Canis lupus familiaris: one gene and its partners. The protein of the gene in region 1 interacts with the protein of each later gene in a biochemical or structural test. Links are inferred from orthologs where the notes say so. Each region holds a gene or a part of one and is shown on either strand. Other genes may lie near its edges.

Evidence for each region.
Region 2: the proteins of HSPG2 (region 1) and KDR form a complex in vitro, tested with the Homo sapiens proteins (2 studies listed by IntAct). The link is inferred for Canis lupus familiaris from reciprocal best matches to the Homo sapiens genes HSPG2 and KDR.
Region 3: the proteins of HSPG2 (region 1) and FBLN2 form a complex in vitro, tested with the Homo sapiens proteins (2 studies listed by BioGRID). The link is inferred for Canis lupus familiaris from reciprocal best matches to the Homo sapiens genes HSPG2 and FBLN2.

Annotation. Positions count from the first base shown.
Region 1 is NC_049223.1:76,736,363-76,740,007, forward strand, and holds part of HSPG2 (basement membrane-specific heparan sulfate proteoglycan core protein), read left to right. Parts: intron 1-3; coding exon 4-139; intron 140-236; coding exon 237-388; intron 389-1,150; coding exon 1,151-1,286; intron 1,287-1,440; coding exon 1,441-1,592; intron 1,593-2,021; coding exon 2,022-2,160; intron 2,161-2,262; coding exon 2,263-2,414; intron 2,415-3,012; coding exon 3,013-3,148; intron 3,149-3,265; coding exon 3,266-3,417; intron 3,418-3,622; coding exon 3,623-3,645. UniProt on the Homo sapiens protein: Integral component of basement membranes. Component of the glomerular basement membrane (GBM), responsible for the fixed negative electrostatic membrane charge, and which provides a barrier which is both size- and charge-selective.
Region 2 is NC_049234.1:48,227,520-48,231,164, reverse strand, and holds part of KDR (vascular endothelial growth factor receptor 2 precursor), read left to right. Parts: intron 1-119; coding exon 120-228; intron 229-1,083; coding exon 1,084-1,425; intron 1,426-3,549; coding exon 3,550-3,645. UniProt on the Homo sapiens protein: Tyrosine-protein kinase that acts as a cell-surface receptor for VEGFA, VEGFC and VEGFD. Plays an essential role in the regulation of angiogenesis, vascular development, vascular permeability, and embryonic hematopoiesis.
Region 3 is NC_049241.1:3,866,500-3,870,597, forward strand, and holds the start of FBLN2 (fibulin-2), read left to right. Parts: upstream 1-1,208; 5' UTR 1,209-1,452; intron 1,453-4,098. UniProt on the Homo sapiens protein: Its binding to fibronectin and some other ligands is calcium dependent. May act as an adapter that mediates the interaction between FBN1 and ELN.

The DNA of each region.
Region 1 (3,645 bases):
CAGGTCCGCGGCTCCCGCCTGTACATCTTCCAGGCCTCGCCAGCCGACGCAGGCGAGTATGTTTGCCGGGCCAGCAACGGGATGGAGGGCTCCATCACAGTCACAGTAACCAGGACCCAGGGGGCCAACTTCGCCTACCGTGAGTGGGGCCAGCAGGTTGGGCTGGGACGGAAGGCAGGGCCAGGCGGGAACAGCTGTAGAGAACTGGAGTGACCGGTGACCGTCTTTTCCCCCAGCTCCGGGTAGCTCCCAGCCCATCCGCATCGAGTCCTCCTCCTCCCACGTGGCCGAAGGACAGACCCTGGACCTGAACTGCGTGGTGCCCGGCCAGGCCCACGCCCAGGTCACGTGGCACAAGCGCGGGGGCAGCCTTCCCGCCCGACACCAGGTACAGGCCTAGAAGATGGGCAGGCCAAGAAGGAGACAGGAGGGAGGCCCTGGGTGGTGGAGGTCAAGGATGGGAAGGACTGGAAGCTCCTCGGAGTCAGGGAAGCCTTGGACCCCATTGTCCAAGGGTGTCCAGGTGTCTAGCACCATGGTTAGAACCCAGACTCTAGGGCTGGCCAACCTAGGTGTGAATGCTATTTCCCCCACTTACTAGCTTGTGACCTTAAGCGAGTTGCTTAGCCTTCCTGTGCCATTGCTTCAACATCTGTAAAATGGTATCTGTCTTATATAATTGTTTTAAGGGTGAAGTGAGTTAACATCCCTGCAAAGTGCTCAGAGCTCTGGCACGTAGAAATTGCCCAACTGTTATTACCGTACTGTTAGCTGTTATTAATATTACTGTGTTTTAAAGAGTTGAGGATGCTATCGATTGCAAGGTGTGCTATTATTCTTTGTACCTCTAAGGAAGAAAAGCTGCCATTTGTAACTGTAAAATTATTCCCCATAAGACAAATTATTCACCGTAAGACACATCTTGATTTCAGAGACATTAAAAAGTGTCTTAGAAGCAACAGAAAGTGGAATTAATGTTTGCCCAGTTCTCCATGGCTCCTCCTGGCCACCTCCTACTCTTGGGACAAGTCTCTCCCTAAGCAAGACAGTGGATGGCCAGGCCCCAAGGGTCAGAGTGAGGCAGGGCTGTAGGTTACAGGTGTAGGGGCCTCGTGAGGGCCCCCTCTGAGCTCACCTCCATTCTGGCCAGACCCACGGCTCACTGCTGAGACTACACCAGGTGTCCCCAGTTGACTCGGGCGAGTATGTGTGCCGCGTGGTGGGTGGCTCGGTGCCCCTGGAGGCCTCTGTCCTGGTGACCATTGAGCCTGCAGGCTCTGTACCCGGTAAGCAGTCCTGGGGGTAGGGCAGGGTTAGGGGCCCAGCCGTGGGAGATACTGGCAGGACCCCACGAGACCAGTAGCCCTTACATTCACACACACACCCACCCCCCACCCTCCCCTCCTAGCCAGGGACTCACCCTCTGCCCTCTGTCCCCAGCGTTGGGGGTCACCCCCCCTGTCCGGATCGAATCATCGTCCTCCCACGTGGCGGAAGGGCAGACTCTGGATCTGAACTGCCTGGTTGCTGGGCAGGCCCACGCCCAGGTCACGTGGCACAAACGCGGGGGCAGCCTCCCCGCCCGGCACCAGGTAGGAAGCAAGAGAGCTAGGGGGGAGCCTGAAGGACCCTCGTGACTACAGAGTAGGGCATCCAGGCTTTGAATTCAGGCGTACCTGAGTTCAGACACTGTTCTGCCCTGTGCCTGCTGTGTGGCTCTACGCCAGTCACTCGACTTCCCCGATCCTCAGTGCCCTCCTCCGTCAAGTGGGCTCCCACTGCCTACCTCACCTGCCCCATAGCACGTCAACAACTGTTGGCCGCCCACTCCTTTTCACTGGGCCCAGTCCCACACTGGAGCAGGGGAATTGACTGGCCATGAATGCTGGTCTTTCCAGCAAGAGCGCCTCGCAAGGCCAGCTGGCTGGACTGGGCTGGGAGCAGGGCCAGGGGAGGGAGCAGGAGCCTGGCCCGGAGCCCTGGTGCCTGACCCTGAGCCAGGCTCCCTCCTGCCCACCCAGGTGCACGGCTCCAGGCTGCGCCTGCCCCAGGTGACCCCCTCCGACTCTGGGGAGTACGTGTGTCGCGTGGTGAGCAGCTCGGGGACGCAAGAAGCCTCCGTCCTGGTCAGCATCCAGCAGCGCCATGGCCCCTCCCACCGTGAGTATCTGGGGGGGCGGTCCTGACAAGCAGTGGGGGGACCTCGAGGGTGGCTCCAACCTCAGCAGCTCCCACACCCTGTCTCCTGTCTCGGCCTCCCAGCCCAGGGTGTGGTGTACCCCGTCCGCATCGAGTCCTCCTCGGCCTCCCTGGCCAATGGACATGTCCTGGACCTCAACTGCCTGGTGGCCAGCCAAGCCCCGCACACCATCACCTGGTACAAGCGTGGAGGCAGCCTTCCCAGCCGGCACCAGGTATGGAGGCACTGGGTGTGGGTGCAAAAACTGGGCACACGGGTTCTAACGGGATTCAGGAGCGGCTCTCAACCCCTTCCCTGTGCTCATTCAGCCATTCAGCAAACATTGAGCGTTCTTACTTGATGGGCACTACTGACCTCAGTGGAGCCCATATTTTACCAGAACATTCTATGATTTACTCACTCACTGAATGTCCCTGAGAATCTGCTCCAGGCCGAATGCGTGTGCCTGGCACTAAGGATTCCAGGTAGAATGAGACAGGTGCCCGCCCTCCGGGAGCTCACAGGCTAGCGGATGGGGCAGACATGTCCTGTGACAGCAGTGTAATAGAAGTCAGAGCAGGGCACTCGAGTCACCAGGGATGGCCTCCGCAGGCTCTAGGGCCAGGTAACAGGTGAGAACAGGACAGAGGCTACAGAGGCCTGTCCGTGCCAGCTGGGCCGTGGGGAGGCCACCGAGGGGTTCTGAAGGACGTCTTGGTGGCGGCCAGCCCCGACAAGGCAGGGGAGGCTCCGGGAGGCTCCTGGAGGCCAGGGCGGCGGCACCTGAGATGTGGAGGTGCTGCCCCCACCCACCGACACTTGCTCTCCCTCAGATCGTGGGCTCCCGACTCCGGATCCCCCAGGTGACGCCGGCCGACTCGGGTGAATATGTGTGTCACGTCAGTAACGGTGGCGGCTCCCAGGAGACCTCACTCATTGTTACCATCGAGGGCAGTGGCCCCTCCCACGGTGAGAGGGCACAGGGCAGGGGGTCCAGGCAGGTGATGCAGGGGGAGGCGGACAGGGCCCTGGTGCCATCACTGCTGCCTGACTCCGGCTGTGGGGCCCGTCCTTCTCTGTCTCCAGTGCCCAGCGTCTCCCCCCCCATCCGGATCGAGTCCTCGTCCCCCACGGTGGTCGAAGGGCAGACCCTGGATCTGAACTGTGTGGTGGCTGGGCAGCCCCAGGCCACCATCACGTGGTACAAGCGTGGCGGCAGCCTTCCCACCCAACACCAGGTACAGACTGGAGCCGTGGCCGTGAGGGCAGAGCCCCTGCCCCCGGGGCGGGCACTGCAGGGACAGCCTCCATGGGCAGAGAACGGGAAGTGAAGTCCTCCCTCCCACCCTGGGTGGGCAGAGGGCGGCCTGGAAGGAGGCCTGGGCCGGCTGGTGACTTCCTGGCCGCTCACCCCTGTCCCCCTTCTTCCCCATCTGCCCCCAGGCCCACGGCTCCCGCCTGCGGCT
Region 2 (3,645 bases), on another chromosome or scaffold:
GAGGTCAGTGCAGTAGTGTGAATGGAACAGACAGGTCTTACGGGTTGAATTTTAGTCTGAAAGCATGAGAATAAACACAGCCTCCATCGTTTACAGCCCGGGATTTGTTTTTTCCACAGACTGTAAGTACCCTTGTTATCCAAGCAGCCAATGTGTCAGCTTTGTACAAATGCGAAGCCGTCAATAAAGTTGGGAGAGGAGAGAGGGTCATCTCCTTCCACGTGATCAGTGAGTATTGCTCTCCCTTTGGGGGGGGGGGGGTTAGATCTCTTGCCAAGGGGGCACTAGGCTGTCTGATGCTCTGTGGCCCTTGCCATTCCGGAGTGGCATGGTGTTTCGGAAGAGGACTTGGGCTGATTGGGGATGCTTTGGTTCATAAATGAAGACTCCTCAGCTAGCTGTTGGGTGCGTGGGAAGTCGGTAGAACTGACTCTCCCATTCCCTCAGGGGAGAGGATGGTTTTGCATATTTTTTTAGCCACAAATCCTGCATCACGGTTATGGCTCCACCATCCTAGTCTAGCACAGCGCTTGGCTTCTTGGGGTTCCATCAGTATTGGTGGGCTTGCTGCTGAGCTGTTGACAGTGTTGGGTTTTCCGGAGGCAATTGCAATGACACAGAGGCAGTTTCTGCCCAGTGCTGCTGATTCTGATTGTGCATCTTAATTTTATGGTTAAGCTTTAGCTGACCGGACTAGGTGGTCAAGAGTTCAGTGCGGGCTAATTTGTTGTCATAAATATAGCTTCAGTGTCATTGAGTGTGATGTGTCAATGAGGAACTAATTTTTAAAGTTCCTTGGTATAATTATCTGCTTTCAATATGTTTTGGATTTTTTTTAATCTCTAAAGCTGTGTTTTGAGCCCAAAGTAGAGACTTGATACGTATCTGAGGAATGCATCTTGGTAAAATAATACATTTTGGAGCCCGAACTGTCTAGTTTGGTAGTCTCCTTGTATTCCTTTGCTGGGATTGCTAGGGCTTCACTTCTCTTGGTGCTTTACAGCAGTCTGAAGGCAACAGGAAGACAATAGTGTGCTGCCCAAATTAAATCACCATTTTCTAACCGTAGGTTTTATATTTCAGGGGGCCCTGAAATCACTTTGCAACCGGACACCCAGCCAACCGAGCAGGAGAGCGTGTCTTTGTGGTGCACTGCAGACAGAACTACGTTTGAGAACCTCACGTGGTACAAGTCTGGCCCACAGGCTCTGGCAGTCCATGCGGGAGAGGTGCCCACACCTGTTTGCAAGAACTTGGATGCTCTTTGGAGAATGAATGCCACCACGTTCTCTAATGGCACAAGTGACATTTTGATCCTGGAGCTCCAGAATGTGTCCTTGCAGGACCAAGGAGACTATGTGTGCTTCGCTCAGGACAGGAAGACCAAGAAAAGACATTGTGTGGTCAGACAGCTCACAGTTTTAGGTAAGGAGGCAATTTTGGTCATCAAAGACAGTTGGAAAGCCTTCAATGTGGTACTTTTAGGGACTGTAAGATCACTGTCCTATAGGAGCATAGGAAGTAGACTGGTGCACACTTGCCTTATTCACCGAATGTTCTGGAGGCAGAAAGAGGCCAATAGTGGTGAAGTGATGTATTAAAAAGAGAAAATAACATGTTCCTTTCTAGCTCTAATGATAGGACTTCACTATTATCTACAAGAGATTAGCTTAAACTGGGGAAATTCCTGCTTTATCCTTGGCATTTGTTTATTTTAGTAGACACGTATTCATGGAATGCCTACTATGAGCTAAGAAGGTTCCAGAAGTTCACAATGGTAAGTAGGTAGACAAGATGAAAACACAGGCAACCACGGGGCAGCCATGGCACATTGTGGTCTTTGTGTCCATGAGGATGGGATTTGTTTTCTCTTCCTCCTTGCTGTAGCTCGCATCACAGAACATAGTGGCACATAGTAGGTGCTCAGGAAGGCATCTGCTGCATGAAGAGTTATTTAGGACCTGGGAGAGCCCGTGGGAGGGGTGCTGCACTCACAGCTTGCACCTCTGGGTCATCCCATGTAGTCCAACGTAGGGATCAATGGGATGATCATTTTAATGAGCTGATAGCTTTGTAAAATGCCCCAGGGAGCCACTCTCCACACCTCATCTAAACCCGTGTCCTGCACAGGAGCTGTGCAGCCATGCCTCTGTCTCTGGGGAAATGAGACAGATCTGGAAAGTTCTCTTTGTGTCCACTCTCTCCATTTTCTCCCCTCATGAGTGTCCCTTCCCAGTTTCTGGGATGCATGTGTTCTCTGATTTTACTCTTAAGAAGGGCAACAAACTGCCCAGGTGAATGAATCTATACCAAAGTTTTAGAGGAATAATATCTTCTTCAGAGGCCTTGGCAAGTTTAAGAGGTATCTTCAGACAGACCCTAGGATAGTATTTGCTGGTGTTAAGACTTAGGTGTCAAAAGAAGGAATATTTTAGGGTGAAGTCATTGCCAGGGCCCTTCATATCATATCACATACATGGCCATGTGTTTTCTGTTCACCTTGGTGACTGTCTGGTTTCAAATTAGTGGAAGAATTCAGAGAGAGATGTGAAGGGGCCATGCCCAGGAAATTTGTGCTCACAATGAGCTGCTTTGCTTTTCTAAGAGCTCCTAAGTTGTTTTCCTAAAATTATTCTTAGAAACAGACCAGAGCCCAGGATATTTGTTAAGCCCTAATGTAGTTCACCAATGAGGTAATCTCGTTTTGCTAAATATTGAAGTGGATTCTTTCAGCAAGATTCCATTTGATTGCTGTGGACAAAATATTTCTATATTTTGAAAGTTTTGCTATACATTGAAAGAAATACTCGTGGGCTTAATTTTCTTGAGATCTTTGACTTTCTTTAGGGATTTCTGTGTTGCTCTTTTGTGTTTTAGTGGGAATGGCACTGGACTAGGCTTTCAGTCTCACCAGTTTCTATTATTAGGTCAAATGCTTACTTAGTTATAAGGACTTGGATGAATCATTTACCCACCCCCCCTGCCCCATGAACTGCAGTTCTTTCCTCTGTGAAATAAGGTTAATATTCTTGTCCATTCCAGGGTTGAAAGTGAGCAACAGAGATAGTATAACTGAGTTTTGTAAAAAAAAAAAAAAAAAAAAAAAAAAAGCCAAATAAATATAAGGTATTCTTTGTTGAATTACATTGAAGTTTCGCACTTTCCAAGAGAAACATGGCAAACTTCAAGGGTGTCACTAGCTGGAACTTTCGTGGGAGGGAAAGTTTCCCCTTGGGGGAAGCCGTGTCTAATTAGGAAAAACCCATAAAGGTGACAACCTTCATTTTGTGATGTGACAATCAACTAGAGTCACTAATAGGAATGTTCATAGAGGAGCAGTGACTTATCTCAACTGTCCTGACCTGTTTCATTTGACTTTACCTGGTGACCAATGGTATTGTCATCAACCTCTGTGTATTTGCAGCTTAGGAAATCAGTGGCTTACTGTTTACTAAGTTTAAACTATTTATCAGTTAACTGATGCTAAAACCATTTCAAAAGTTATAACTGAATGTTGTGTGATTTTTGTGTGTGTGTGTGTCTGCATAGAGCGCGTGGCGCCCATGATCACCGGAAACCTGGAGAATCAGACTACAAGTATTGGTGAAACCATTGAAGTTTCATGCACCACATCTGGGAATCCCC
Region 3 (4,098 bases), on another chromosome or scaffold:
AGGAAACAGCTCCTATCAAGAATGGAGACGCAGATGGGAGCCAAACCACTGTAGGGCCTCGCTGGCCAGGCTGCTGGGCGTGAGCTTTACTCTGAGGCCCCCGGGAGTCACAGGAGGGCTTAAAGGCGGGGAGTCACATGGCCGGACCGTGCTTTAGAAATCAGTATTTCCAAGAAGAAAACAGTGTTTTCGGGACAAAAGGAAGATGCAGAGATTTCGTAAAACGGGAGAGGCGGGTGGCTGACAGGCAGACGTCAAGATGCTCATCCCTGTTAGCGGCAAGGGGCCTGTGCATTCAACCCTCCCCGAGATGCCATTTCACACCCACTGCCCCGGCAGACGTTAACAAATGCTCTCGAGGAGGTGCAGCCCTCAGCAGCCGCTGGCAGCCTTGGTACAAGCCTCGCAGCCACAGCCTGGCCTGAGCTGGGGAGCTTGAACGCGTGCACACCCAGTGACTCAGCACTCCCCCTCCTAGACGAAAACAAATGTCACGGGAAGCCGGGTACGGAGAGACAGAGACGTACAGCGACACCCTTTGTAACAGGAAAGAAAACCCAGGAAGCAGCCAAAAGGGCCCGAGACCAGCCGGTCAGCACGCGCTCGCCGACGCCGACGGAGTACCACGCGGCCCTGCCCAGAGGTGGAGGCGGCGGCAGGCTCCCCCCGCAGACAGGGTGTTGCAGCGCGTCTGCCTACGACAGGTTCAAAAACAGCCCGAACTCAGTAACGATTGGGGATGCGTCAACCGGGGAGGCCTTGCAGCTGGGGAGGGGCGCAGGAGAGCATGTCTAGGTCTGGTAGTCTGTCTTTCAGAGTCCCCGGTTCCGGGGTTTTCACATGAAGCAGAGTCAGACTCTGGGCTCGTATCGCATTCTCTCAGGCTGGTTAGCATTTTTGCAATGGGCGTAACCTGCTTGTTTGATTATTAGTCACCAACCGCAGGCGACGACTTTCCTATCGGACCCACGTTGCTTCCACGGTGGCGCAGTCCCTGGCCTTGGGGACCCAGCCAGGTGTGAGCCCATGACGTGTGTGATTCAGGAATCTCTGGGTTTTCATTGGCTGGATGGCCGGGGTCTCCCTTGGCTGAGAGCCAAACACTGATGAGCTTGACCAAGTCCCCTCGTGACTGTTGGGGATTTTACAGGGAACATGTTTCTAAAATATGTGCTATTATCTGACAGTGTCTGAATCGAATACAGACAAAATCAACTCTAAGTCCAAGGCTGGAAAATCACCCACCCTGTCGGGGCCATTCACAGATTCCTCTCCAGCTTCTGGCAGCAGCCCCGGGTTTCCATGTAGAAGTTCATCCTACCCCTCAGACTTTTAGGAGAGAGCAGGGAACGCGGGCTGACCCAATCGGCACAGCCCATTCCTCTCAGCTGCAGTGACTGGCTTAGGCCTGGGCACCTGACTTAAGCTCCTCCAATCTGAGAGAACTTTAAGGTGAGTGGACTAGCGCTTCATTTTGTCTGGACTTAAAGAATTGTACGCTGGGGGCAGCCGGGTGGCTCAGTGGTTGAACGTCTGGCTTCAGCTCAGGTCGTGATCCTGGGGTCCTGGGATCGAGTTTTGCATTGGGCTCCCTGTAGGGAGTCTGCCTTTCCTCTGTCTGTGTCTCTGCCTCTCTGTGTGTGTGTCTCATGAATAAATAAACAAAATCTTAAAAAAGAAAAAAGAGTTGTAGGCTGGAGCTCCTGGGAGGTTGGCTCACTAGAAGAGAGTTTTTGGCAGAAAATGGAGGGAGAGGTAGAGTCCCTACCTCTCGTAGGGAGATCTGAGGGACAAGGGGAAAGAAACCTGGAGACATTTGAGCACCTGGATCCAGCTATGCCTGAAGTCCATCCCTCTACTCTTTTATGGAATTCAGTATCTCTGTTTTTGGGCTTTAGTCTGTTTGAGTCAAGGGTACTGTGACTTGCAGCATAGAGTCCAGACCAGCATCCTCCTCCAGCTAATCAGTGGCACCTCCTGAGCCAGTAGCTTGTGGTGGGAGGTCATCCCTGCCCCTCCCTGTCCTGGCCCCCAACGCCACGTCCTTTTCAGGCCCTCCCCAGTTGCAAGGCCTTGTCAAGATTATAAACCTCAGATTGTTATTTGGTCCGGGCTGTTTTTGAACCCGGTGCAAACAAACATACTGTAAATGCTCCTTTTGGCATTGGGGAGACACCCGTGGGAGCACACAGTCTCTCCCCTTGGTATCTCTCCAATCCTACTGCTTCCCTGTGCCTCCACACCCATCTGAACCCCATCATCTCCAACCCAGGTTCTACCACCCGTGTCCTCCGGGTGGGGGGCTCCCTTAAAACCCTCCAGTGGGGGCAGCCTGGGTGGCTCAGTGGTTGAGCATCTGCCTTTGGCTCAGGGTGTGATCCCTGGTCCTGGGATCGAGTCCTGCATTGGGCTCCCTGCAGGCAGCCTGCTTCTCCCTCTGCCTATGTCTCTGCCTCTCTCTGTGTCTGTCATGAATAAATAAAATTTTAAAAAGAAAAACAACCCTCCAGTGGCTCCCCTTGCTCTCAGAATACACACCAAACTCATCCCTGCAGCCCACGGCCTGCCACATCCTGCCCCACAGCCCTTCTTTCGGAGGGCTCCTCAGCTTCCACTCCCCGCCCAGGAGCGTGGTCCTCGAGCACTTACTGTGTGCCTGGCCCTGCAGAAGTCCTGCCCACCTACCTCTGAACTCACGGGACCCCTCGTGGAACCTGATGAGTTAGGCACCATATCCCCATTTGTAGAGAAGGAAACGAGGCTGAGAGAGGCTGGAGCCTCCCCCAGGCATCGTGCAACTAGGAGCCAGCCCTTGGGGGCCAGGTTCTGTGAACTGACCACCACCCCACACACCCTGCCCTGCACGGCCTCCTCAGGGTGCTTCTTGCTGTTTGTTGGTGAGGACGTTGAACTCCTGTCTCCTGCAAGAGTGCCACTCCTTGAGGGCAAGGGGCTATCTGCCCTCCAGCTGGACCCCCATGCCTGGCACCAAGTGGGTGTGCAGGGAAGATTTGCTGACTGAATAATAATATTAGCCCGTGCTCACTGAGCACTCACCACGTGTAAGCCACTTCTGAAGCACTTTCCATATATTAGCGGACTTAGTCCCCACGATAGCTCGATAGCTCGCGGTGGTTGGAGGTTATTTTATAGCTGGGAACACCGAGACAGGGAGGGAAGGTTCCCAGATCCCACAGCTAGTAAGTGACGGAACTGGGATTCAAACCCAGGGATCATGGCCCCAGAATATGTACTTGTAACCACACTATCCCTGCATGGGGTGGGGATAGGGGGTCAAAGGGTAGACAGAGGACAGAGCCTGATGGGCGGGAGTGGGGGTCAGGCTGAGCAGAGATCAAGGACTTAGAGCCAAGACTGGGCTCATACCCCAAGTGTCACAGGAGGCCAGGCCTGGACAGATGGAGATGCAGGATTAAGACACACCTCACCGGGGACCTTCTCTGCTTCCTGGGGTTGGAGCCAGCTGGCTGGTGTGCTGCGGAGTGTGAGTCCCCTGCCAGCTGCCTTATCTGGGCCTCAGTAAGGAGGATGGAAGGAAGAAGAGGCCTGGTGGGTTCCAGAGAGAACTGCATAGGCTGGAAAAGAGACAAGAGGGTGGCTCAGTGTAGATCCTCAGGACAGATGGGCTGGCCTCCTCACAGGTTCCTGAGCCCAGTGGGGTTAGCACGAAGGCCAGGAGCTCTGCATGTTCAGCTGGGAAGTGGACAGACCCTGGAGTCAGTGCATGTTGCCACTTTAATAAGTCACCCCTACCTTGGGTCAAGTCTAAATGTTGGAACGTGGAAGGTGAACCATCTCTCTGAGCTGTGCAGACCACCCCCAGGTCCTGTGCTCAGCTGCTGGCCCAGCTCTAGGAGAGGGGGACAGGCTGAGTTGGCCACAGTATAGCAGAGGAGCTGGGGCAGCTCAGCATGGAGAGTAGCAGCCTTGGGGGGGCTCTGACTGAGGAAAAGCAGACAAGTCTGGAGCTCCAGAGGGCACACCTGGAAGGGAAGAAGGGAGTCATCTCTTGGTGTGCTGGAGACTTTTATGTCAACACCTAAAGTTGCCTGCCCTCCTATCCCATAGCTGAGTTTC